Oryzias latipes: one gene and its partners. The protein of the gene in region 1 purifies or fractionates together with the protein of each later gene. This does not show direct contact. Links are inferred from orthologs where the notes say so. Each region holds a gene or a part of one and is shown in the gene's direction. Other genes may lie near its edges. The genes, in order: rpa3, rfc1, zufsp, top3a, prpf19, rfwd3 and smarcal1.

Region 1 (4,079 bases):
ACTGCACTGATTCAAAAGGAAACTAGAAAAAGTAAATCTATCTAAAAATGTTTAATCATTTTTGTTGCTACAGAAATGACAAACTATCGGGGGAAAAAAGTGCGCTTACCGCCAGAGCCTGCTAAACATTAATGACATCTAATGACTATCTAAGTCTAAGTCATCTAAGTTGTGATGCCAACTTAACTATGCATACAAGATAAGACAAGATATGAACAATAGGAGTCAGACATAAGAAAAAGTAAGTGTTAAAAAAACTGAACTTGGTTATTTTTGTTTCTACAAAGGGGAAAAAACATAAACCAAAAAAAAATTAGGATTGTATCTGGTGTTTCCTAATGAGTTATTTCATGAGGCTGTGTGTCAAAAGCATTTAATAGTGTTTAAAATGTAATAATTGTCTGATTAAAAGAGTTTAATCCTTTAATCAAAAGAAAAATGTTTTATGCTGTTTTGTAGTTTTGGATCGTTGAAGTCTCTGTGAGCAATAAATATGGATGTCTAGAAATGAAAATATAAATTTAAAAAACTAGAAGAAACAGCAGAAGATACAATCAGGATTCTGGTATTTGCAGTTTTTGCTTGTGTGAGGAGACAGGGGGAATTTAATTAGGGCTAAATTTAAAGGTTTTTGGGATGAAGATCCTAAAAACCTGGAACATGGAACTTTTAAAACAATAGACAAACAACTGTTCAATTTTAGCATGACCAGAACAGCAATTGAGAAGATCAAAGGTGCAAAGAGTCATGATGTGGATTTACTGTCGGATGAAAATAACAGAATTCAGGGCTGCAGCTGAAAACAAAAATTAAAACAGAGAAAAAATACTTATTTATTGCAAATAGAAGAACTAGTGGGAAATCTGTTGACAATGAAGTGAAAACAGCAAGATTCTGATGTGTAATATTCTTAATAATCATTTGTTTTGGAGGATGTTTGACAGATGTTGGATTTTGCAGGTGATACAGACATTTACATCCTACTGATGAAGCAACACCAATGCATGAAAACACTTAAAGGATAGTATATTCAAAAAACTCCCAGGCTCTTAAGCTCACCATGGTCTCCCAGAAATGATCGTTTACAAAAAAATATCTTTATTTATTGCTTATAATTGTTATTCTTACTATTTTGCAAATGTACATCTTTTTTCACAAAAGAGGTAATCACACTAACTAAGATCTAGCCTGTCCCTTCATGATAAATAACAGAGAAGGGAAGATTTCGAGATTACATTTTCGATTTCAAGCAACACAAACGTTTAAACGTGTTGTATTGAATCCGTTCAGACAGTAGGTGGCGGTAAAAACACCAATGAAGGCCTAATCTCCCTGAAACCGCTTAGATGAAGAAGGAGGAGGCGTGTACCTAGAAACTAGGCGTTTGTTTTACTCACCGTGTTCTTTTTTTGCTTCAACAAATTCCACCGGTTTTTTAAGCCCACTGTTCGTCTCCACCCGCGTTACAACGCCCGGTGTAAAAACAAAAGACTCCCAGGCTTCCCGCGCCCAGCTGCTTCAGTCTCGTGTCTGTGGCGGGAAGATGGCAGGAATCATAGATGTTCCGAAACCCCGAATTAACTGCTCAATGCTGCTGCAGCACATCAACCAGGCGGTCTGCTTCGTGTGCCGGGTGTCTAAGGTCGGTTTCGTTCGAGTCCTGTGGGGTTTGGTGGTGACAGGCGTTTCAGTTACCGAGTTTTTACTTTGTGTTGTAGGTTCATCCCTCCGGGAAGACGTTCACGGCGGTGGACGGAGAGGGGAAGACGGTGACCGTGGAGCTCAACTGCTGTGTGAGTACGCGCACACACAGCAGCCCCGTGCTGCTGGGACTCCCGTCCAGTTCCTGTTGGTCCATAGGCTGATATTGGATGTTTAAGACATTGATTGTGTAAAGTAAACCTGTTTTTCGCATTTTTAAACAACTTTTAACTTCGTAGTGACTTTACCTTCCTAAGAAAAAGAAAAAAAACTCTCACGACATGACTGTCTCCAAACTACGTTTCGGAATGACTTAATTTGACAACATGTACTTTATTAAAAAGACAAATTGGCAAATGGCAAAATTAAATTAATGTTTTTTAGTGTGTTTTTGTATGATTTATCTAATCGTTTTGCTTATCTTTGTGTTTGCATCGGTGAGCATTCTTATTCCCAAAAGTATTAAACCTCACTGCCTGCGGAAGTCCCGCCCACAAACTATAACGCGCATGTCTGACAGTTCTAAGGTACTTCCTGTTCCATGAAACATTTGAATGTTTTTGCTAGATAGATCACTGAACAAATGAAATATTATTTAAGACTGTCTGATACACAAATGCATATGTCTTTTTTGTTGTTGTTGATTCATGAGAAATTAAATCAGAAAATATGTTTTTCATGTATTTATAAAAAAGATGTTATAAATTTAATTCTTAATCTAAATTAAATACTGAAATACTTAAATACTGAAAAAAATCTACAATTATATTTCTAGTTGTATTTATTATATTTTGCTTTTAGATTTCTCATAATTCATCAATTAATCACGATGGATGGACGGAGTAGTTTGGGTTCATGTTCTTTATGCAATATAATTTTTTTTTTGCTAAGTTTTAATAAAATCGGAATAGATAAAGTTATAAAGTTACATTCATCCTATCTGTATTATTTAGGAAGTAGTGCTACATTTGCTGATTCCAATTGCCAAAAGCCTCCCACTGCTGAGAGATTTCTTTCTTTCTTTTTTATGTTTACATTTGTTTTTCTTTTCTTTTTTTGCGTGTCATCTTAAAGTTGTGAAAGATCTTAAAAATAATGAACACAAAGGAATTCTTAAAAGGCCTAAAGTCTTTTCTTCTAAAGACTTTAGGTATATATTTCGACAATTTTGAGTCTGCACCCACAGAAACTAAACTGAAATCATGCTTTTTTTTCTTAAGGTGGTGGACTGATCTTTTGTTTTTGTGTAAAGTTCCATCAACTACAGAGATATTGTGAGTGCGCTTTAGGTCCGGTTTATACTTCAAAAGGGTTTGTAATCGCTGGCGTCCCTGTGGTCGCACGGCTATTGAAGCGAAATTGCCACAGTCGCTGTAAAATAGTACCCCTGCTGGTGACGTCAAACTCTGTCAGAAAAAAAATGTCTTTTTAGCACTGAAAGGGGGTGAAAACTTGTTTCCAGCTGGAGGAGGAGCTGAGCGGCGTGGTGGAGGTGATCGGATTAGTGTCCAACAAAGGAGTCCTGATGGCCGCCACATACAACCTGCTGCGAGAAGACCGCGGCACCCCCTTTGGTGGGAGTCCAGTGAAGCTCTGCTAACTCTCCAGGAAATAGTCGGCGTCCCTAACTGTCTCTGTGTCTGTCCGGCAGATTTGGAGCTGTACAACGAAGCCCTGAAGGTCATTCATGACTTCCCCCAGCACTACCCGTTCGAGGCCGCCGTCAGCGGCTGAGCCGATGCCGTGGCTCTGACCCTGCCAGAACTCATGTAAAATATTGTTAAATTAAATTTTAGTTAATATCCAGAATAATGTGTCACTGTTTTTGGAAAAACATTCATTCTTTTCCTTGGTTAATAAAGTTTTTGTTTTCTGTAATTTCTCGTGTTTTTGATCTTTTAGTTTGAAATAAAGAAGCTACAATTTTGCTTTTTTTAGCAGCAAAGAGGCAGGTAAACAAAAGTGATCAACTGAGGATTCTTTTATCACATAAGACAGCCAATCAGAGGCAGCGGGGAGCAGGTTTTCACACAAAGTGAGCATGAGTCATCAGCTGGTGTTGTTGTTGGTGAGGAAATTTTTTGACCTTTAGCGAACTACAAAACAGAAATGGGGGGAAAAATGGAGATCTGTCCAGGAAATAGACTTTTTCCTTTGAACAACTATTCTACAGAGCTCCTTTCATCATCACGTTTGTGTTCAAGCAGAGATGCAGCCACATGTCAGTCTAACGTCAACTTAGTAACACATGATCCTATTTTATCTGTCAGCAGGCATCGTTTATCTGTTACCTCCACCTGATGAAGTCCTTGAGAATAGAAAAATTAACCAGAGCGGTCAGCAGGGGGCAGTGTGAGTTGAGAAGCTCTAGATAGACA
Region 2 (4,239 bases), on another chromosome or scaffold:
TACTGGAAGTTACTCCCACACAGACACGGCCTGCATGCCGCTCACAGCTCCCGTTCTCACGCTCTGCTCTCCGCTTGTTGTTTCTCTCTTTGCAGCGGCTTTGATCCAGCAGGCCACCACAGTGAGGAAGAAGGACATCAGGAAGTTCTTGGACGGCATCTATGTGAGCGAAAGGACCACTGTGGTGGAGTCAGCCAGTGAATAAATGTTCAGATTCTGCTATGACCAATAAAATAACCTTTTTCCAGCTCGATTGATCTCTTGTTGTCTGTGTAATTGTTCTTTGCTTGATTAGAGAAAGCTGTGCATTTAAGGTTTAAGTCATCAAGAAGGTTTTAGCAGAAAACTGGACTCGGCTTTGATCCAAAGTTCCTAAAGACATAAAATGAGAGTATTGAGAAACTCATCAGTGTGACAGTATAAAAGAAGCAGGTGAGGGATTATTTATCAAAATATAAGGACAGCTTTAAATTGAATGATTTTCACAAAAACTTTGGGGGAAAACTGGTTTCCGTCATGCATCATTTACATGGATCAAGTCATTTTAAACATTTTCTGTCTTATTTTACATTAACCTTTGGTTATAAGATGGAGTTGTCTTTGTAAATGTTGGACAGACGGAAATGTGACAAATACATTTTATGGTTAAAATAAATTGTCCAGCTTTCTGTTTTGTGATCTCGACTGTCATCCACTGAAGCAAAGTGGAGCAGTTCCATCATCTGCCCATTTTAGTCCTAATTTAAGGCTGTTTATCTGAAAGTAGCTGAGCTCCGTTTGTTGCCGACATCTAATGAAAGCTTTATTAAAGACAACAGTTGTGATCTGAACTAAAATGTGGTAAAGTTTGGTCAGAGGTATAAAATTAGTCACACATACTGAAGGAATTGTTGAATGTTTTTTGTAAAAGTGTTCAAATTGGCCTTTATCTTTCAAAAAAAAAAAATTATCTGACAATCCTCTGTAAACAGCTAAAAATGTCTTCAATTTAGAGGCCAGCCATGTCAATGAATTGTTTATCTTGCCTCCTAATATTCTGGACATAATTTTTCTATTGTACCGTTTTCAAACTTTATATTTATTCTAGTGTAAAGCTGAATTATAAATACACAATAGAAAGTATACGCAGGCTTATTTGTGAGGAGAGATTTGTATTGACTGGACTGAAAATAAAAGTGAGAAACTGTTTATGAGGCACTTTAAAAGAAAGGGAAAACAAGCTTTACTACACATGAAAATGTCAAAAGCATTTTTACTTTTTTTAAATAAATCTTTAAAGTTAACTTGGTGCAGATCATTTATCAACTAAGATGTAGCTAGAAAACCACTTAAATTATCTTTTTAGCGGCAGAAAGACGTTTATATTCAAATGAGAAGTTTTGTCTAAAATGATTTTAAATGTATGTGTGATGAATTTCTCAAGACGCTGGTTGGATGACGCAGTGACGCAGCCAGCATCCGGTGCGTCATCTCCTAGCGACTGCAGACTTGGCGCCAAGTAGTTGGGAGTTTTTATTATTTTGCTGATAACAAACTGTGAGGTTTCCTTGTGGAATTATCTCCAACATGGTATGTTACACACCGTTATGGTTTCCACCTCACACAGAAAGCGAACGCATGTGAGCAAAGTCTGACATTGAGGAGAAACTGGATGCTAAGCAGATGTTGTCGCGCGCTTCTGCTGTGGGTTAGCTAAAACAGTTTTAAGACAATTGACTTGTTGACCTACATTTTTTATTTTAATATAGGAACAGGTTATTGCACAGCAGCTATAATTTACCGGATGTTTTAATAATTAAATCCGCACATTTGTAGTTTAAATTTAATTAATCCTTGAAGAGATGCAGGGATTTTTTTTTTGCACACTGAAGTACAGATTATTGATTTGTTAAAATAGCCTCAAAGTTCCTTTGCTTCTGCATTCAGGATATAAGGCGGTTCTTTGGACCGACATCAGGGAAACCTGCGGTGCAGAAACCAGCGCCAAACACCAAAGCAGAGGAGAAGAAGAACCTCAACTCCTCTGATGTGAAAAGAACCAAGGTTGATACTCTTGTGTTTTCATTTTTACTTCTACACTAAGTGCTGTTCCTGCACATGTTTGGGATTTTGAGCTTCTCTTGTGTTATCTCATGTAGGTCAAAAGCTCCAAAACAGAGGAGCGACGCAAAGACAGTGAGAAAAAGCGCAAGAAGTATTCTGTCATAGCATCAGGTAGGAAAGACTCTGGATGACCTAATGGGCGTGGCTTAAAGTCACGAGATGACCTCTGTGATTTAACAGCACTGGATGGGGGGCCAACTCCAGGTCTCCCTGTGCTGGTCCCCAGCCCGGATAAAATACAGGGTTGTGTCAGGAAGGGCATCCGGCCTAAAAAAAAGTCTCTGCCAAACCAAATGTGTGACTCAGTGAAAGCTGATTCGCAGCAGCGACCTCTGACAGGATGTGTCAAAAGGTGAACAACGAGTGTAATATGTCTTTGAGTGGTGCAGTGTCTCTCAGCATCACTATATAATAATGTCAAAGAAAAAGTGAGAGGCTGGCTGAGAGGTTCATATGTGATGCAGGAAGCATCAAGCAGAAATAAACATACATAGTTATACCAAACCTACCTACCAAACCACAAGTTCATTAGAAAATAAAAGAAGATTATGCTATTGTCTTGACATTATAATTACTCCTAATCATAAATAAACATAGTTGCACGTATGCATACAGTATGACACACATGACACATTAAATAGGATTATTAAATAATAGTTTAAAATAGCTTTAAAGGCAGAATTTATACAATCACAGCCCTATTATGATTTACTTACCTTTAAAGAAGGTATGAAGTTCCTTCATAAAATCAACATTTTATTTTAGTGTCAAAGGAAATTGTGAATCCTTGACTTAAAACAGCTAAAAGGTAAATATTATTTCAGATCCTATTTTTAAAAAGCTTGAAGGATAAATTCTTGTTGTTTTGTTCAGATTCAGAAGAAGAGGAGAAACCTGCAACAAAGTCTAAGAAATCTTCTAAATCGACGAGCAGCAAAGCAGAGCCTCTTCCTAAAAAAGACCCAGTGCAGTACGTCTCTGAAACAGGTGAGGCCTTTCTTCATCCAACGTCCTCCAGATTCAATAAGCTAAAAAGCCGATTTTCTGACGTCTGTTTTTGTGCTTTTAGACTCGGACAGCGACAACTTTCAGTCGCTGAAGAAAGGAGCCAAACCCAAACAGAACGGTTCTCCTAAAAGCAATAAGGCGGACGCAGAACGTTCTCGCTCAGGATCCAAAGCCTCTCCTGTCACAGGAAAATCTGGGCTAAAGAGTCCCACAACCCCCAAGTCTGTTGCACCACCTCCACCCAAACTAACTCCTACCTCAGTGGCGGATTATTTCGGCGGTGCTGCTATTCATCGCTCAGAAAAGAAGCTGGTAGCCAGCGCCAAGAGAAAAGCTGTGAGTGCTGATGAATCCTCCTCATTCTTCTCCTCCAGCTTTCAGGACTCTCATTTGTTTTACAACAATCCAGCTTCACTATAACTCCTGTCTTCCAGCCAACACAAGACTTTGAGGATCTGATAAGTGATGAGGAAATCGCCCGACAGTTGCAGGTGGAAGAAGAGATGGAGGTGAGCAGATCATCAAACACTCCGGCGTAAAAACAGAAGCAGAAGTTAGTGATTCAGGAATCTGTACACTAAGTTTACTCCTAGAGTTCACTCTAAAGAAAGTGCTCGGATCAAAACACAGACTTCCTCTAGGTTTGAAACTCTATCTTTTCGATTTCCAACACTTCCAATCAAGCTTTATTTATAAAATCCTTTTCATACAAAAGCAGCTGAAAAGGCTCCAAACATCAAATGTGAAACGTCATAGAGCTTCACTCCAAATGATACCACGGGTATAGACTCCAGGCCTCATTAACCAGTGTCCTACTTGTTTTTTCATCCAAGCTGCCGTTGTAGCTTTTAATTGGCAAAACAAACCTGATTCAGGTAACCATGGCAACAGGCATTTCAGGGTTTCTGAACAACAGGTTGCCGGCCCTCGAGGGCTCGAGTCCAACACCTCAGGTGTAGAAGATCCCAATGAGGAAAAGGACTGGAATAAAAAAAAGTGTAAGAAAACAGAACAAATGGAACAGAAAAATGAATAGAAAACATAAATAGCGACTCTGACAAAGACAGAAGACATCTGTCGAAACATGTAAGTTATGTGAAAAAATACAACCGTGTCTGATAGTAGAAC
Region 3 (2,348 bases), on another chromosome or scaffold:
TGACACAGAACATGAACCGTGTGTGATTATTGGGCTGTGATTTGTGCGTCAGTTACGTAATTTGAATGCGAAACGTACGCCGTATACGGGAGATAAAAGTTATACATCGGTGGTTCATGCGTTAAAAGTCTGTTAGACATAGCCACAAATTTGTGTATCCCAAAAACCACACACAATTGCATAAGATTTACATAACAATTGCGGATAAACTACGTAAAACATGCATAACCTGCATAATTCTCAATAGACTAAAAGTCCGGAAATCATGTAAAGATCCTAAACCCTCGACAGACATCTGAGCACATCGACAGATAACTAACACAAGAAACACTTTTGAATTCCGTAAATCACGCAAGACTAAAATTTCATACGTGGAAAATGTACACAGTGGCTGAGTGACGTCACGTAGCCTTAAGATAACATTTCCTAAATGAGAGAAAGCACATAACTGACAACCTAAACCAATAAACTGAGGTTTTCATGTGTGCTAATAAATATTAATGTTATTGTTGAGTTTCTCCAAATCCACTGATGTCTTTTTGCTCGGCCAGAAAAGGCAGTTCCTTCTATCCCACAGGTCCAGAGAATGATAGAAGAGGCCTGGAAAGCAGGTGTGGATCCACAAGGAGCATCCCACTTCAACCACCGCCTGCAGGGAACACGGGCCTGGATCGGGGCCACAGAGATCTACGTGTTGCTCACCTGGCTGGGTGTCAGGTGGGACGGCAGCTCTTGCTCCATGTGTAGGCAATGAATTGTTGCTCATGAGCATCATCGCGGTGTTTACCTCCAGAGCACGCATCATTGACTTCCACCAGCCTACGGGCCCCGGGGACACCCATCCCCGGCTGTTTGACTGGGTCAGACAGTACTTCCTTCAGTCCAGCCAGAGCAACAGACTGCCCCCCAAGGTCATCCGAACCAGCCTGCCCCCACTTTACCTTCAGCACCAAGGTAAATGGATGGGGGAGTGTGTTCCAGCAGAGGCTTATTTACATAAAAAAAACTCCTTTGAAAATTTGTCACCACATTTGGTAATTCAGTTGTGAAGTCATGGTTGCCATGGTAACAGTGTTGTTCATACCTTTTATTTTAGCGTCTTTTTCCTCTGAACACCAGAGATGTTTGATGTTCACCAGAGCTCTTACACTTTAGGGTGGGGGCTTTATGCCCATATTGGGTAATTACAGCTGTTGGCTGGAGATCAGAACAACTCTGACTGTGGAATTCCTGTCAGCACGTCTGCTGCCGTGTGAAAAGTTAGTTGTCTACAGGTCAGGCTGTCTTCGTCTTTTGCTCGCGGTTGCCATCGGTGATCGCAAGAGATGCCGTCGTGGTTTCTCGAATTAATTGAGGAGTTTCGGTGTGTCCACTTTGGTGCTATATTTGGGTTAATTTGTCTGATTAGTGGTTCCATCCCTTCAGCTTCCTGCTCTGTCTGCAGGTCACAGCCGCTTGGTTGTCGGCGTGGAGCAGAGGAAAAGCGGCGCCCTGGCCCTTCTCGTTATGGATCCCGGATCGAAGCTGTCACTAAGCACTGATGCGGTTTCCGTGGCGATTCGCCACATCAGGAAGTTCCCCAGCAGCCTGAAGCACAAACAGTATCAGCTGCTGGCGGTGCAGGGGGTGCTGTCTGCAGAGGACAAACAGGTACGCTGGCAGCGCACATCCGCCATCACCTGTTTGATCCTGAAACTGCTCTGTCTCTGTCCAGGCTGCTGTCTTCAACTCCAGGACTCTCTGTGCAGAGAAGATCCCATGAGAGGCTCTCCAAGCATCTTTTTACTGATCACAGTCTTCATAATTTGGTTTTAGATGTTTTATAATAAATGCTTTCCATACAAAAGTGTCTGCTGTGTCATAAGGACCTTTAAAAGGATTTCCTTTTTTAACCCAAAAAATATCCGCAGTAAAGAGAAACTAAAAGACAAAAAAATTAAGTTTTATTTAGCAAACTTTGTTGCTCTAAAGACTATGTTCTAGCAGACAGACAAGGTTTTCAGGATTATAGATGAGCCGCATGTTTATCATGTAAAAAAAGTCAAATGCTTATAAATGTATCAAATTTCACAGTTTGCATCATTTCAGTAAGTTGCAATGAATAAATCCAAAAACTTTATTTCATAACTGTCAGACAACAAGAATAAATGCAACATGTTTTTACTCACACTTAGCAAAAACATAAACTTAACACTTTTGATTTTGCTCCAATTTGTCAAGAAATGAACTCAAAGATCTGAAACATTTTCTACAAACACAAAATAACCATTTTCCTCAAATATTGATCACAAATCTGTGACGGTGAGCACTTGTCCTTTGCTGACAAATTCCGGGTGTGGCATTAAAGA
Region 4 (3,500 bases), on another chromosome or scaffold:
AAGTCTTCCGAGCAAAGTTTTCTGAGATCACACCGGCTTCCATTCGGAGAGCGTGTGAGACTCTAATAGAGCCAGATGCAAACATCAGTGATGCCGTGGATGTGAGACAGGAGCTGGATTTACGGATAGGTAAGGGGACTGAGAAAAAAAAAAAAAGAGGTTCTTTTGCTGCCTTTCGTGGCTGTTTGTGAAGACAAAGTCATTGACGTCACTTTCTGCAGGTGCATCCTTCACCCGATTCCAGACGCTCCGCCTGCAGAAGATTTTCCCAGAATCCTTGGCCAACCAGCTCGTCTCATATGGCAGCTGTCAATTTCCCACTCTGGGCTTTGTGGTGGAACGCTTCAAAGCCATCAAAGCTTTTATACCAGAGACCTTCTACAAAATCAAAGGTAACAAAAATAAAAATAAAAACATCTCCAAACACAAGCCTGCAGGGCTCTGTTCAGTCCCCCCAGTTTTACACGTGTCTCCTTGTGGCAGTGCTACACACACTAGAGGACGACACCGTGGAGTTCAGTTGGAAACGAAACCGGCTCTTTAACCACACGTGCTGCCTGGTGCTCTACCAGATCTGCATGGAGGTACGACTTTCTGAAAGCACCTTGCATGAATTTTTGCACGACTATGTGTGTTCAACCTTTTAATCTGCTGGAATATGTTTGTGATGAAACTCTGTAAACCTGAATGATTTTAATGGGTCTTGGTAAGAAAACGCGGCCTTTATTGCACCTGGTATTTTACTCACTGGTCTTGATGCTTTAACTTCAATGCTGTTCAGATGCTCACCAACATTCTGATCTTTTCCCAACAAAGAAACAGAAACAGAAATGAAAATGCTTTTGTCATCATCTTTGTCTGAAAAATGTCATATTTCGGATAAGATTTTTTTGGTTTTACGATACTAAGAAGCACTGTTTAAGGCAACGTAATCCTCTCTGAATTTACTTAGAGATTTTTGCCAATTTTCCTAAAAGAAACAAAACAAAATCATTTCTAACTATAGTTTTGTTCAAACTCTCACGAATAATCTGGACATAGGGACTAAAGATGGATATTAGCCCAATATAATTATTGTTGGATGTTTGCATTTTTAAATGTCACACCTTGAAATGTGCTCTCCGTGTCTTAAATAAACAAACAAACAAATACTAAACCAATAAGCTTTGTGGTTGAGCTTGACGAAAAATAAATGTTTTTATTGTTTGTTTATTTTTAAAAATGGGAGACTTTTCAAATGGGATGTCTTGTCTTTTCGTATATTTTGGGTACATTTTTAAACGGCTATGACTGAAATGAACATTAAGTGCAGCCGGGACTTGAACAAGGGGCCTTCTTAATGTGAGGCAAGAGCGCGCTAACCACTGCACCACCGTGCAGCGCCGTCATTCAAACTTATTTATCAGAATTATATTTTTACCCAGAAATGGTTTCTGTCTTTGTAATATCCATGGTTTATACTTGAACATGGTTTTTAAACTCTTATTTCCTTTTTGTGGCTTCTTTTCTGACGAGTAGAGACTTTGGTGCCTTAGTGACTTTCATTCATAGACACGCTGTAGTGTTCTGGATCTATCGGTCTCTCATTTTCACTGTCCTGTGTGGCAGAAAGTGAGTCAGGGAGCAGATTCAGGTCGTGTGTTCTGACAGGCCTGAAGATGATGGTTTCTGAAACGGCGGACATCAAACATCTCGAATGTTACAGCAGCTGTTGTTGCCAGATATTTTCTCATCCATTACAGCATCAGCCACCTAGATCAGGTTTCAAAATGATTTGACTAAAACTAAACTTAACTTTACTTATAAAATGCAGTATTTACTCATCAAAAACTGAAATTGATCTTTTTCTTTAAATAAACAAATTGCTGTTTTTTTTCAGACACTGCGCTAACAGTTTATGTAAGAATTCACCATTTTTAAATATAAATCTCTGATTTTTTTTTTTTGCTTCAATCACTTATTTGATAAGACTTTTTCTTAAACAAAATTGGTTTTAAATGAAAACTGTATAGATTTATTCAAAGTGAACACAAAACACATTGTGAAATAAGTTAACTCTGTGTTTTGCATGAATCCCATCCCTTAAAATGGTTTAAAAAAAAAAGAAAGAAAAGAGACATTTGTCATAGGTAAACATTTAACATCATGCTTTTCCATTTTAGTCTCAGATATAAACTCATGTAGGGATTACTTTGGCGTTCTGCAAATAAATGATTACATTTTTTGAGTCCAATAATGCTGCAAATCCAGCTGTAGTTTCTCCTCTTTAAAAAGCTCCTTGTTCTTGCCAGCCGTGTGCTGCTGCAGCTGACATGACTCTGACTGGAAGCTATTAGAGTGAATGAAAGGGTCTAAAAGCCATATTTGAAATGAGAAAATGATTTTATTCATTTCCAGGATCCCATAGCAACAGTCACCTCAGTAACAAGCAAACCAAAGAGTAAATGGAGACCGCTGCCTCTGGACACTGTGGTAAAAGGATGAAACCAAAATACTTTTTCATGCTGTCAAAGTTTGTTGTTGAAAAATAAATGTTTTTGTTGTGGATTTATTTCAACATCACAAGTCTTTTACCTTTGCCTAACCTGCAGGAGCTGGAGAAACTGGCTTCTCGGAAACTCAGAATAAACGCCAAAGAGACCATGAAGATTGCCGAAAAGCTCTACACCCAAGGGTGAGCGTCTCAACCTCTGAACAAGCCGTGCGTTCGAGCCCAGACTGTTCCCTGAGACCGTTGTGTTTCTGCTCAGGTTTATCAGCTATCCTCGCACAGAAACCAACATTTTTCCTGCAAACTTGGTCCTGGCGCCCCTGGTGGAGCAGCAAACTCACAGCTCAACGTGGGGGACATTTGCCCAGCGGGTGCTTGACCAGCCTGGGGGGCCCAACCCAAGGCAGGGCAAAAAATCGGACCAGGCCCACCCTCCCATACACCCCACTAAGTACACTAGCTCTCTGCAGGTGGGTTGTAAGGAGTCAAAATATGCTTTTATTTAATATTTCAATTCCATTTTAAGAAAAAACTATTTTTTTAAAGGAAATATGAAGTTTTTTTGTTTTGTTTATTGAGTTGATAAGTTCTTCATGAATGGTAAACACGATTACTTTAACATTAACTGTCTCCTTCCGCTCCAGGGAAATGAAGCTCGTGTCTACGAGTTTATTGTTCGACACTTCCTGGCCTGTGTGTCCCAGGATGCTTTGGGGCAGGAGACTGTGGTGGACATAGACATTGCTCAAGAGAAGTTCTCTACCTCCGGACTCATGATTATAGCCAGGAACTACCTGGATGTTTATCCGTACGACAAATGGAACGCAAAGGTACAAACAGACCGAACTCTTGACAGTTCACTGCAAGTTTCTTAATCTTCACGACAATCTGTTTTTATTGTGTACTCGCTGCCACGTGTGTGCTGCAGGTGATTCCGGTGTATGAAGAAGACTCTCAGTTCCAGCCCTCTGCTATTGAGATGGTAGACGGACAGACGAGTCCACCGCAG
Region 5 (3,952 bases), on another chromosome or scaffold:
TGAGTGTTTGAACATGTGGGTTTCATTTCTAGGATTACACTCCTGTCACGATAGGGGAACCAAGTTCTGAAAACCAGCAAGTACAGCAACGGACAGCTGGGGTCTCGCCCAGGCATGACAGAAGCACTGAGGTAAAACTCTGTCAGCCTTTTTTGGCTCATGTTGACATAAAATCAAAAGAAATAAAAACTACCCATGTGCCCCCCCCCCCCACCCCCCACCCCCTGAATTCCCTCTAGGAGAACAAAGTGAATGAGAATGAAGAGAAGATTTCCTTTCCTGTGCCTGGAGCAACAGACTGCCTCCACTCCTCTGAGGACTGCGCTCAGTACCAGATTAAGAAGGATGGAGATGAAAAAAGGTGGAGCTCAGAGTTCTTTTCAACATTGCCACTGGACACAGACACCTCTGAATCCTGCAGCGTTTACACGTCAGAGAAACTGGACTTTTTATAAAACAGGTGCCAAAATGAGAAAAGAAGGACATTATAGAATGAACAAATAACAGTGAAGGACATTACTCAATGCAAGTTACAGTTCAAAATATTTTGGTAAACATAATCTTTGGATGCATGAATTTAGCATTGCATTTTCTGTCTCATGTTGCAGTGGTGGATTGTACTCTTAAGATCTCTTGCTGTTACCTACCTCCAGACCCTCAGGGCCACTGTTATCTGCACTGTGTTTACTGAGTGTCACCCTGTTTGCAAGTGTTGTATTATTTCTAGAGCTGCATAGAGTATTGACACTAAATATATATATTTCATACTCACTTAAACATTCTTCCACAGTGTTAATACATTTATAACCCAAACAACAATTATTGAATTAGTTATGATCTTATCTGTAACAGTGTAGTATTTGTTGCAGGTGTCATTCCTTTCAACTCAATGCAACTGTAAAGTGCTGTGAAATGTGCTTTTCCATTTGGTCTGCTAACCTTTGAACTTCATGAACAAAACATAAAATATTTCTATAACAAAAATTTAAAATAAACACGTGGTAAACAATAAATCCGTTTTATCTAAACACACGTAATCCAATTTTTAGTTTCAGATTACTAGTTTCCTGCTAGACACAGTAATCCAACGCATTGTTCATTTTAAGCACTAGGGGGCAGTGTGGAGACAACGTTCGAATTGCGTTTAGCAGACATTTCACGAAGAAGAAGAAGCTGGCTCATTTTATTGAGGCTATGAAAGGGCATAGCTTTTCTTAGTTTCAATTCAGTCATTATCGGTGCACACTAGCGAAACACAAGGTTGGAGTAAGCATATATTACTTTCCAGAGGAGACTATTTACACAGCGTTGGGAACATGTCTCTGGTTTGTGCAAGTAAGCTAAGTGAAAACCTTTGAAATGTGTGTGTTTAGCGAGGCGCCACGCAAATGCTACTAGTAACTAGCTAATGTAGCAGTTAGCGGCCATCAATGCCGCCTTTTATATGGAATTGCTTCCGTTCATTTTATGTTTGTTGCTTTTATTTACTTTTTAAAAAAGAATTTACTGATTTAGAATAGTCTTTCAAGCGGTTGCCACACCTTTATTTCAGTCTGCAACGAGGTTCCAGAGCACCCGTGCATCTCTCCGGTGTCCAACCATGTGTTCGAGCGCAGACTGATAGAGAAGTACATCGCTGAGAATGGGACGGACCCGATGAACGGACAGCCCCTGTCCGAGGAGCAGCTTGTGGATATCAAAGGTAAACGACACATCAGCCTATAATGGCGCAGGTTCAAGACCTTCGTCTTAAAAAGCAAATATCATTCATAACATATTGCATCTCTAAAGCACGTCAATTTACAAAATTTAAATAAATATATAAGAAAATTAAGCAAAGAAACAACGAATTTATGAAACCAAAACTATTGGAAAAACAATTTTTCACAAAGTATTTAAAAAAAAATGCCAGAAAGTTGATCAAAAAACAGCAGTAACAAATGGTGTGGGGGGGAAAAGTACTTTTTTGTTGTTTTTAAAAAATAGAGAAGGTCATAATAACATATTTATTAAATATCTATAGTAAAAAAACAAAAACTAATACACTGACACACACGCCTAACCTAAAAATATTGTTGTAGTATATTTGCAACACTTAATTAGTGGGCCTATAATCATGCTTTTCTTAAGCATTTCAGAGTAAACTATATCCATATAAATGACATATATTACCTTTGGAACACTAAAGAACAAATTATTTATGAAATATTAGTTATTTCAGCTCCTTTTCCTACCTGGAGGTAAGACTTTCGATCTCTGAGGCACTGGCTTTCGCTCCTTCCTTGTGGTTGCCGCCCATTTCATTTTGTTAACTTAGAGCTGGCCTCGCCAGTGTGTCTGCGTTTCGCCCACAAAAACAAACAAAATCCAAACTTGTAAAGATGGATGTATTGTGCATATAAAAGGTGGTTTGGGGGGTCTGGGTTTAGAGGAATGCTCAGAGCTTCGTCAATGGATCAAAATATGGCTTTGGGGTCGTTTTTCTTGAGGGCTTAACATTATGATTCACTTAAAGCTCAAAAAGTTGATTTTGCATGATAAGAAAACCTAATGTGGATACAGTGATTCTATACGGCTTTAGAAAATGTCTGCTTTAATTTCTTTGTAGTTACTCATCCTATTCGACCAAAGGCTCCATCTGCTACTAGCATTCCTGCCATTCTCAAGTCACTTCAAGACGAGTGGGTAAGTAGCATCAACGTATACAATGTTTTTAGTCATTAAAATATGAATAACAGTTCATTTTTACAATTGTGGCAGAATGGGATCATATCTTGTCAGTGGAATTGTCATTATTTAATGAAGAATGTGTTTTGGTCAAACAAAACGTCATGATCTGCGTTTGATGTGATGGGTTCCTTCTGGAATCCGCTTTTCAAAACGACCCGAAGTGGATTTTGAGAGATTCTCTGGTAAAAGTAACCTGACCCATTTTCTTTTGTGAATTAGGATGCTGTGATGCTTCATAGTTTCACCTTGAGGCAGCAGCTGCAGACGACTCGCCAAGAACTCTCTCATGCCCTTTACCAGCACGATGCCGCCTGCAGAGTCATCGCCCGCCTCAACAAAGAGGTCACTGCTGCAAGAGAAGGTCAGTGAAGTTTGCGTCAAATGCTATCTTACAAAGTGATTTTGAATGAAGAGTGTGTTTTGTTTATTCATAATTGGGGTTGTCTAATTGGCTCATTTGTTTGTCTTTTTTTCCAGCTCTTGCTACACTTAAACCCCAAGCTGGACTGGTGGCCCCTCAAGCAGTCCCTGCCTCTCAGCCAGCTGCTGCAGTAAAATTTGATTTATTTATTGAATTATTTTCCTTTAAAAAAAAGGCTTTGTATTGACTTTCATAACTCATCTGTCTAATAACTGTCAATATTGTGTTTCAGGGTGCTGGTGGAGAACCCATGGAGATCAGTGAACAGGTGGGAATGACCCCAGAGATCATTCAGAAGGTACGGCTTTCTTTAGTTTTAAAAACCATTCTACTTTGTAAAGTTTGTTTGTAGAAAGATTTTGTTCCTTTGGTCTATTTGACTGTTGTTGTGTGTTTGCAGCTTCAAGACAAGGCGACCATCCTCACCACAGAGAGAAAGAAGGTGCAGTATTGACTACAACCTAACAGTTTGTGGAGTCTTTATCTGTCTTGGTAGCGCCCAGTTCACCCTGTGTTTTTTTTTTATCTACAGAGAGGAAAAACTGTTCCAGAGGATTTGGTCAGAGCTGAAGATCTCAGCAAGTACCGCCAAGTTGCTTCCCACGCTGTAAGAAGAGATTCTGGAGAATCCAGAGGATGTAACTTTTTGTTTGGATTGCTTCATATTTGTGGTGTGACTTTGATATTTCCTGTAGGGTCTGCATAGTGCCAGTGTGCCTGGTATTCTGGCTCTGGATGTGTGTCCCTCTGACACCAACAAAGTGCTCACAGGTAAAGTGTCATTATTTTAATGTTGATTTA
Region 6 (3,935 bases), on another chromosome or scaffold:
AGGTTTTCCACAATGTCATGATCTTTTCATTTATTTATGGGAGATTTATTCGTTGATTGTACAAGTTCATATTAATTTTTTTTAATTTTGAACAACTTGGGGCTCCTTAGTCACAGGGCTAACTGTAAGGGCAGAGAAAAGGCTGCCGATGATGAGGCGAGCCTCGCCAGCAGGGGGCAGACGTGAGCTGCCAGATGCTTTGTAGCTACACTGGTGCAATCTTTCTCCAGCACAGCATAGACTCACTAAACTAAAGGAAAATAAGGAAGACTTTTCAAACAGACCATAGAGCTTTTTGTGGAGAAGGATCGGTGCTTGTACTCAAAAAGTAAGGCCAAACATGGTTTTCAATTTTGTTTTGTTTTTTAAATAACATGGGAGTAAGTGGGGGGAAAAATTAAGTATTTGAAAACTAAATTTTAGGCCTAAAATAATTATTTTTATGATCATTTTCACAGACAACATTTGATAACTGATTAAAGCACCAGAAACTGAAGTTGGAAAAATACCAGAAATAGTCACTGAGGGTCAAAATGAAATGTATGCTGAGCACATCTGTCTCTACTTTGATTTGTTTACAGTATATATGAATAATTTATACACAAGAAGAGTTTTCAACCCATTTCTATTAAAATATATATCTCTGTAGGACAAATGTGTTCTTGTGTGTATCGTATAAGCTGTTTACTGCTGTTGGATGAATGGTGAAATGTTCAGTTCTGTCAATTGTAAATCTGACTCCAGAGGAGTCGGGGCCTCACCGCACGTCTCAGTGTTGTGTGTTTGTGTGTTGTGGTAACCTTTTTTGGGGGGAGTGGGGAGTCATGCAAACAACTAACGATCTTCGTCGGTCACGTGACCGTGAGATGGGCGGGCAGAGCGTGCTGTAGCCGGGAGATTCGACTCCACACGGCGGCCACTACAGTCCGAGCTTTTACTCAGCGAACTGCTCAATCATCTCGGCCTTTACCGGACCACCATGACGGCGCTCCGTGTGCTCCTTGGAAGAGGGACCGGCAGCCGCTGAACGCGCACAGGTTGGTGGCTTAACTTCCGGAGGTTTAGCCGTCAAGTTAACCGCCGCCGACTCGTTAGCTGCTAATAAGCTAACGGATTGAAATGTAACCGCGATGTGGGCGCCTCCTTGACCTGGAACCATTGGTGTCCGCATGCAGCTCTGACTAAAAACTCTGGAATCAAATATATCCGGTGTTTTTGGTGGGGGTCTGTGGCATTTTCGTAGTTAACCGTTCAGAGCTAACGGAGACCTTCGATCGGGTTTATGGAATGTGTTAGCTCGGTTATCTGTCCTCCCCCGGTTACTATTAGTTTTCACTCGGAGAAGCCGAAGCGAGAAACAAACAAACAAAAAAAGATGAAGCGGAAGCGCCCGGTGAACTGTTTCCGTTAGAGGCCTGTGCGACCTCGGTCTGGAGTATATGCTTAGCCGAACCGCGGCGCTCGTGTGCGGAATGGATCGACCGAAGCTGCCGTAAACACGAGCAGACTGACGGACACTCACGCTCTGGGGATCGGCAGGTTACAGTTGCTGGTCGGATTGCCTTGTCGGAGGTTTTTGACCCCCAACAAATGTCATGACGTCCATCAGGAGTCTTTCAGCTGCCTGGAGAGGGCATTGTCTCACTGCTGTGCTGTTTGTGTGCAGAGGAAGGTGAAGTATATCGAGAAGATGAACTCGAATAACAGCAGCATTACCTCAGAAGAAAATGACTCATAAAGCAGTAGTTAACAGTAGTCCAAAGAAACAGTAGACCAAAGAAAAATTCACCTGAACCTAGATATAGGTCCTTACAAAATCTTCTTTTTGGAGCTTTTAAGTGTATTATTGATTGATTTCATTTATTGATTTATTTCAAAGCATTGATTTGATTTGATTTATTGATTATAATTAGGGCAGCACGATATGAGGAAAACTTGCGATATTAGTGATCAATATTGCGATGACGATATAACTTGCGATAAATGAACAAATAGCAAAAACAACAAAAACATTACCATTTTACTGCTAATGTTTAAGTTAAATAAGAGTCAAAGTACCTTATATTATTCTCCAAATGACCCTCGCGATGACGATAAATTTGCGATTAATTGTGCAGGCCTAATTATAATGTTTATTCCTCTCAAAGAAAAACCATAAAGTAGTCCGCCCTCCAGGTCAACACTATTGACAGTAAATGAGAACTGCACGAAACAATCCTTCTCCTCCCTCACATTCCAAACAGGAAGTACCCAAAAAGCTGAAGGCCTTCTAACATGCTCATTCCTGATTGGAGAGAGTGGTTGCCATTGAACAGTTGGACGAACCAATCACGGCTTACCGATGACGCCTGGTTCCAACATGGTGGCGACTAAATTTACTTCATTTGGTTACAACCGGAAGCAAGGCATTTTCTATGGCGGTGTTTTTCAACCTTCTTTGAGCCACAGCACACTTTAACTTTGTCAGAAAATCCCGCAGCACACCAGCATCCAAAAAAAAAGGAGAAACTCATAGTCTGTATTGATCTACAGCCCCTCTGCAATCTCACATGCATTTTTGTGATAATTGTGGCAGAAAAAGCTGGAAGTTGCAGCTGTTTTTTTCTAAAAGATGTAATAAAAGTTAAGTTAGAAGGTTTAAAAACTGTTTGTGTGTTCGTTGTGGTTTCAAGACGTTAAGAGGAGAGGCTCATTGTGCGCTGAGACGCTGTCACTTTAACCAAATGCATCATGGGAGATGTAGTGCAAACAGCCGCTGAACGCAAACAGATTCGCGTCTCTGAGCTTCATTGTTTTGTTCACTTGTTCCATGGTCCGATACCGGATTCTGTGGAAAGCTACACCACTAAAGACGAGCTTTAGCTGGTATTTTTGTTGGAACTGAGAGACTTTATGAGCAGAATCGGAACAAGGAAGTGAAGACTTTAACCACTTCTGATTGGTCAGACTGATGACGTGTGATTAAGCCTCCAAGAATGATTGGTGGAGAAAGGGGCGGGACTTTTCAGAAAACAGAGCTGAAGCTGAGCTTCCCACGGCACACCTGACCATCTCCCATGGCACACTGGTTGAAAAACACTGATCTATGGGTTAGGGTTAGGTATTATACAGTCAGTGGCTAACACACGAACACTTTCTCCGTGGAGCTGGTGGGGATCGGCAAAAACTCTTTCCTTTATATGCTCAATATGCACAGCCATTTTTGGAAACATTTGGATTTTGTTTGTTTTCATGGGCGAAACACCACACGCTGCTGATGCTGACTCTAGGATGACATCATGAAATGGGCGGCACCCACAAGGAGAGATAGGCGGAGCTTCAGAGATCGAGTCATTTTGCTTCCGGGTTGGAAAATATGGAAGCATTTGTGTCTCATAATTCAAAATAAGTCATTACCAGAAATGCTTTTTAATTCTCACAATGAAGCTGCGTTTGTTGTCGTAAAACTTAAATTAAAAATCAATCATCCAAAATGCCTTTTCATTTTCTCCTTCAACACCGCTCTTTCTGTGACATAATTAACGCGATAATGCAAAGAGAGGATTGCCTTTTTCGTTTTCACATCCACCCGCAAAAACTGTCGCATAAATCATTTCCAGTCAGCATTTCCAGGGGGAGGCGGGGCGATGTCTTCTTCTTCTTCTGTCACTACCGCACGTGTTGGCTGCTGGAAAAAGAGGGACAAAGCAAGAGTAGAAGAATGTGGACCAAGAGATTGTCAAAAGCTGGCAAATTTAGCATGGTGACATCTGTGCTAGAGCTGTTGAGGGAGGCTGCAGCTATCCTTCAACAACAGGAGACAATCTTCTAAATGTGCTTTTATTATTGCTATGATTATTATTAAGGGCCTGTCTGCTCATAGTTTTTTTTAATCCGTGTAGCCAGTGCTTTATTCTTGGCTGAACGGACCCGGAAGATGGGTTAGGATGAGGCCA
Region 7 (4,165 bases), on another chromosome or scaffold:
CAAGTCATTACTACAAATGTGGGCAAACACAAAGCAACATCGGGGGGTCATTTGATTTAAAAAAAAAAATTGCAAAATCTGTAAATTAGCAGTTAAATATAAATACTTTTGCAAATGCTTTACATTTGAAACGCATTTTTTCCCGGCAGCACATGAGATATACATCTTCACAATTGATCATCTGTGAGCTGTTTATAATATTGAAAACTATAACAAACAAACATTTTTTTTCATTATTCATTCTTGTCTTATCATTATCTAGGTTCATCATTATTTCAGACATTAAATAATTAATCAATTTATTTATTAATAAACAAACATGAGTAAAAATGCAATCTGATTTTGTATTTGATAGATCCATTGACGATTTAGTCCGATTTAGTCCATTACTGTAAAAAATAAAGAAATTATATATATATATATATATATATATATATATATATATATATATATATATATATATATATATATATATATATATATATATATATATATATATATATATATATATATATATATATATATATATATATATATATATATATATATATTAAGATAGATGTATTTAGATAGTGTAACAAACTACTTCATTAAAACTTGATTAACTTTAATTAAAATGACAAATAGTGGAAATATTTTTTGAATGTTTGATTTATTAATCATAGAAAACACTTCTGCTGATAAATTAATCTAGTGATCTGAATTGGGCTATTAGTTAAGTTTGTCATGTTTTTCAAAATTTAGCTGGAAGGAATGTAATTTTAATCAAATTACCTTTAAGGACAGCTCAGCATTGTACAATAATTGATAAGTATCAAATTTTCACCATGTTGGAAAGCAACCCCCCCCCCCCACCCCTTTTTTTGTTTTTGTTTAAAGTGAACTACAGTTTTATAAAGAGTTAAATTAAATGGTTTAGACTATTAAAATCAGGAGCAGAACTGCCAGAATGATTTCAGATTTAAAAAAAAAGGCTAATGAACAAAGAAGCATTAAAAATTGATGTAAAGTCAGCAAAAACATCTGCTGATTTCCAAAATAGTCGAAATTCAGAATTCCCCATGGGTCCTTTAACCAAAGATGCAAAGTTATATCTTTGTATTTCATTCTTATAAGGAATAAATATCCAGAAATAGTAGTAAGAGAATATGTCATGTAAGAAACACAATAACCTTCTAAAACAGTAAAAGCAGTAACTTAAAAAAAGTTTTCTTTTTTAATAACAGAAGCTTTCAAATACTAAATTACATAAAAATGATTAATTAGCATTAGCAATCAAAAATTATTTTTTCTTTTAATTGTGTTGTTAGATGTCAAAAGTTTTTTTTATATTTTAATATTATTTTTATGTTGGTAGCTGACAAAAAGGGTCTTTGCAGCGCTCACTACTTCCACGTGACGTTTTGTTTTTCTGCGTCACTTCCTGCGCGGCAGATCCTGAACTAAAGTTTTCCCTGTTAGCTTTCCGTTAGCTCCTTTTTACGCCCCATAAGTCGCCTGTTGCACGTTTAAGTATTCATATAAAATGTACGAACAAAAACAGTCTTTGGATTACATCGTTTAAAACAAACGCTGACTGTAGTCTTCAGTTTCTCGTCGTAGTTCAGCATAATCGTTGATTAGCTAAAGGATCTAGCTTCTTTAGCAGCAGGAGTTTGTGTTTTTGAGCGTGAAAGCGTTTACACTCGTGGATCTTCATGAACTGCAGTTTTCCAATCATGTCCAATCGGTTGTGAGTGTGTCAAGCCGTCATCTGAAGTAGCTCCCAGCAGCCAAGTCCCTCAACATGTCCAATCAGCTGACTGCTGAGCAGCAGCGAAAGATCGAGGAGAACAGACGGAAAGCTTTGGAGCGGAGAGCAGAAAGACTCGGACAAACTGTCAGCAGCACGAAGCAGCCTCCGGCGGGCTCCAGCACTGGGCCAGGACACGCGCAGGCCAAAAAACCAAGTGCCCCCCTCCACCCTGCTGGACCTGATGATCACAGTGGAGCCCCGGCTCCCAAACACTTTGCTCCATCTTTCCAAAAGGTGCAGCAGAACTTCAGCAACCAGATCCCAAGTTCAGGTGGTCAGGGCAACTTTGGCTCATCAAAACAGGCGAGTTTTGTATTCAAATCAATTTCTTGAGAAGAAAATTAATTTTTTACCATAGCTTTGATCTTATTGTAGATAAAAGTCCCTGGTCCAGTTTCTCAGACAAACCAACATGCGAAGAACGTCCTGCCTGCTGGAGGACAACTCAATGCCAACACAACAAAGTCCCCCTCCTGCAGCTCTGGAGGTGCACTCGGGTCCTTCTACAATCAAGTCAGCAAACCTGCACAAGCTCCCCCAGCAAAGTTCACCCCCTCCACCTCTGCCCCTATGAAAAAGCCTGCCGTCTCTGTCAGAGGAAAATGTGTTCTTCATTCAGAGAACCGCTTCAGAGTGGAAGTGGGCTACCATGCAGAGCTAATAGCTGTTTTCAAATCCATGCCCTCAAAGAATTATGGTAAGCGCTGCACCTCCTTCACTCATAACTGATGCAGAATTTAGATCAGACAATGAAAGGTTTGATCTTTATCTCATGCAAATTAGCGTTATTTGTTTCAGTCGTCTGTCAGTAAGAAATGTTAAAGTCCCGTTCTGCTCGTCTTTTGAACTGTGCTCCTTTAATTATGGTTATGCTGCTTTTAGTCAAAGTCAAATTACCTAGGACATAGTTTCTGCAGAGCGGCAGTAATTCATTAAAACTTCGCTTCTGAGCTGTGAGCGGGACTGTTGGTGCGAAGTAAGCCCGTCCCTACTTCCCATCATCCATCTGTTTACATGCTTTGCTGCTAGCTTCGTCTGCAAGCAGATGCATCAGAATAGAGCAGAGCTGGGAGCCTGTGGCCTGCCGTTGTAGCTTAGCTGGGCCTGCACGATAAATCGCAAATTTATTGTTATCGCAAGATCAAGCTGTGCAATACGTATATTGCAAAAGACAGAGTAAATTGCAATATATGGTTACCTGCAAGCTGCCATAAGATTGCTAAATGGACGCCTTCACGTTGTTGATCAATCGGATGGAGCTCTTTCATGTTAGATGTTGGCCTCCTATGTAGACTAGGGGTCAAGTCTTATTTAAATTAAACTGTTGCAGCAAAATACAAATGATGTTTTTGGTTGTTTTGCTATTTGTTCATGTATCGCAATTTATATCGTCATCGCAAAATTGATCACTAATATCGCAAATTGCGAGTTTTCCCTACTTCTACTTCACAACTACAAGCTTTTTCTAATGGCATTTTTTTTGTCTGCTCCCGAGTCACAACAATTTCAAAAAAGAAATACTTATTAATGCAATTTTAAGATTCATTTTCTATGTAAATAACCTCCATCATCAGAAAAATATCACGAAAACATGTTAGAAACACCAACCAAATTTTTCATTAATCTCTGTTACCTTTTTTTTTTCTTGTTCAATTATTATGCTTGTGTTTGTGCTTTTATTTTGAAATGACACAATCTTTTGTTGCCTTAGATCCAACTACAAAAACATGGAACTTTAGTCTGGATGACTACAGACAGCTAAGTATGCCAACAAACTGCCAGAAACAGGGTTTTATTGTTTTAAGTAAACTTAAAGGAATCATTAGCACTGTTTGCATCTTTCTTCTCATCCTGCAGTGGAGGAAGCAGCTGCCATTGCCTCAGTGTCTTTGAGGCCTCTGGAGGGAATGGAGGCGGTCAACAGTGGAGCCGTCCAGCCTCGTGACGGTGCGGCGCTAACGGCGCTGCTGAAACTGTGCAATGGTTGGCAGAAACCTGGAGCCGCTATAAAAGGACAGTGCATCCTGGTGTCTCGGACAAGGTTTGAGGTTGACATCCTTTACCATGCCGACGTCATTGGAGCATTTAAACAAATGCCTACTAAAAGCTACGGTAACAAACGCGCACTTATGAAGTTTCCTAGCTGTGCTGTTTGTGTTTTTTTTACTTGTCTTTTTCTTTTCTTGTAGATATGAACACTAGAAAGTGGAGCTTCTCGCTCACAGACTATGGAGGACTCCGTGAGTAACACAGCTGTTTAAATATTGAGCTCCCTCATCTTCGATACCATCTTGTCTAACGGTGCTGTGTTCCGTGCTCAGTGGATCTCATCAGTGGGATAGCAGCAGTGGAGGTGGAGCCTCTACCCAG

The links.
Region 2: the proteins of rpa3 (region 1) and rfc1 purify together in Homo sapiens (affinity purification with mass spectrometry; 3 studies listed by BioGRID and IntAct, with this or other methods). This does not show direct contact. The link is inferred for Oryzias latipes from reciprocal best matches to the Homo sapiens genes RPA3 and RFC1.
Region 3: the proteins of rpa3 (region 1) and zufsp purify together in Homo sapiens (affinity purification with western blotting; 3 studies listed by BioGRID, with this or other methods). This does not show direct contact. The link is inferred for Oryzias latipes from reciprocal best matches to the Homo sapiens genes RPA3 and ZUP1.
Region 4: the proteins of rpa3 (region 1) and top3a purify together in Homo sapiens (affinity purification with mass spectrometry; 3 studies listed by BioGRID and IntAct, with this or other methods). This does not show direct contact. The link is inferred for Oryzias latipes from reciprocal best matches to the Homo sapiens genes RPA3 and TOP3A.
Region 5: the proteins of rpa3 (region 1) and prpf19 purify together in Homo sapiens (affinity purification with western blotting; 3 studies listed by BioGRID, with this or other methods). This does not show direct contact. The link is inferred for Oryzias latipes from reciprocal best matches to the Homo sapiens genes RPA3 and PRPF19.
Region 6: the proteins of rpa3 (region 1) and rfwd3 purify together in Homo sapiens (affinity purification with mass spectrometry; 5 studies listed by BioGRID and IntAct, with this or other methods). This does not show direct contact. The link is inferred for Oryzias latipes from reciprocal best matches to the Homo sapiens genes RPA3 and RFWD3.
Region 7: the proteins of rpa3 (region 1) and smarcal1 purify together in Homo sapiens (affinity purification with mass spectrometry; 3 studies listed by BioGRID and IntAct, with this or other methods). This does not show direct contact. The link is inferred for Oryzias latipes from reciprocal best matches to the Homo sapiens genes RPA3 and SMARCAL1.

What each region holds. Positions count from the first base shown.
Region 1 is NC_019869.2:20,979,314-20,983,392, reverse strand, and holds rpa3 (replication protein A 14 kDa subunit), read left to right. Parts: upstream 1-1,405; 5' UTR 1,406-1,543; coding exon 1,544-1,642; intron 1,643-1,718; coding exon 1,719-1,793; intron 1,794-3,163; coding exon 3,164-3,275; intron 3,276-3,352; coding exon 3,353-3,435; 3' UTR 3,436-3,579; downstream 3,580-4,079. UniProt on the Homo sapiens protein: As part of the heterotrimeric replication protein A complex (RPA/RP-A), binds and stabilizes single-stranded DNA intermediates that form during DNA replication or upon DNA stress.
Region 2 is NC_019859.2:13,023,696-13,027,934, reverse strand, and holds the start of rfc1 (replication factor C subunit 1), read left to right. Parts: upstream 1-1,439; 5' UTR 1,440-1,566; coding exon 1,567-1,569; intron 1,570-1,926; coding exon 1,927-2,043; intron 2,044-2,138; coding exon 2,139-2,214; intron 2,215-2,976; coding exon 2,977-3,090; intron 3,091-3,172; coding exon 3,173-3,447; intron 3,448-3,545; coding exon 3,546-3,620; intron 3,621-4,239. UniProt on the Homo sapiens protein: Subunit of the replication factor C (RFC) complex which acts during elongation of primed DNA templates by DNA polymerases delta and epsilon, and is necessary for ATP-dependent loading of proliferating cell nuclear antigen (PCNA) onto primed DNA.
Region 3 is NC_019874.2:5,464,977-5,467,324, reverse strand, and holds the end of zufsp (zinc finger with UFM1-specific peptidase domain protein), read left to right. Parts: intron 1-551; coding exon 552-717; intron 718-793; coding exon 794-954; intron 955-1,444; coding exon 1,445-1,650; intron 1,651-1,714; coding exon 1,715-1,762; 3' UTR 1,763-1,848; downstream 1,849-2,348. UniProt on the Homo sapiens protein: Deubiquitinase with endodeubiquitinase activity that specifically interacts with and cleaves 'Lys-63'-linked long polyubiquitin chains. Shows only weak activity against 'Lys-11' and 'Lys-48'-linked chains.
Region 4 is NC_019866.2:19,317,472-19,320,971, forward strand, and holds part of top3a (DNA topoisomerase 3-alpha), read left to right. Parts: coding exon 1-129; intron 130-221; coding exon 222-392; intron 393-483; coding exon 484-584; intron 585-2,397; coding exon 2,398-2,472; intron 2,473-2,591; coding exon 2,592-2,674; intron 2,675-2,750; coding exon 2,751-2,961; intron 2,962-3,135; coding exon 3,136-3,321; intron 3,322-3,419; coding exon 3,420-3,500. UniProt on the Homo sapiens protein: Releases the supercoiling and torsional tension of DNA introduced during the DNA replication and transcription by transiently cleaving and rejoining one strand of the DNA duplex.
Region 5 is NC_019868.2:15,898,566-15,902,517, reverse strand, and holds the start of prpf19 (pre-mRNA-processing factor 19), read left to right. Parts: upstream 1-1,152; 5' UTR 1,153-1,316; coding exon 1,317-1,335; intron 1,336-1,552; coding exon 1,553-1,702; intron 1,703-2,608; coding exon 2,609-2,685; intron 2,686-2,949; coding exon 2,950-3,091; intron 3,092-3,207; coding exon 3,208-3,281; intron 3,282-3,383; coding exon 3,384-3,449; intron 3,450-3,551; coding exon 3,552-3,593; intron 3,594-3,683; coding exon 3,684-3,758; intron 3,759-3,846; coding exon 3,847-3,922; intron 3,923-3,952. Other genes in the region: uncharacterized protein LOC101174031, read left to right, coding at 33-131, 240-455. UniProt on the Homo sapiens protein: Ubiquitin-protein ligase which is a core component of several complexes mainly involved pre-mRNA splicing and DNA repair. Required for pre-mRNA splicing as component of the spliceosome.
Region 6 is NC_019864.2:6,590,144-6,594,078, forward strand, and holds the start of rfwd3 (E3 ubiquitin-protein ligase RFWD3), read left to right. Parts: upstream 1-1,135; 5' UTR 1,136-1,595; coding exon 1,596-1,672; intron 1,673-3,935. UniProt on the Homo sapiens protein: E3 ubiquitin-protein ligase required for the repair of DNA interstrand cross-links (ICL) in response to DNA damage. Plays a key role in RPA-mediated DNA damage signaling and repair.
Region 7 is NC_019879.2:19,986,593-19,990,757, forward strand, and holds the start of smarcal1 (SWI/SNF-related matrix-associated actin-dependent regulator of chromatin subfamily A-like protein 1), read left to right. Parts: upstream 1-1,365; 5' UTR 1,366-1,786; coding exon 1,787-2,098; intron 2,099-2,170; coding exon 2,171-2,492; intron 2,493-3,506; coding exon 3,507-3,557; intron 3,558-3,652; coding exon 3,653-3,907; intron 3,908-3,984; coding exon 3,985-4,035; intron 4,036-4,116; coding exon 4,117-4,165. UniProt on the Homo sapiens protein: ATP-dependent annealing helicase that binds selectively to fork DNA relative to ssDNA or dsDNA and catalyzes the rewinding of the stably unwound DNA. Rewinds single-stranded DNA bubbles that are stably bound by replication protein A (RPA).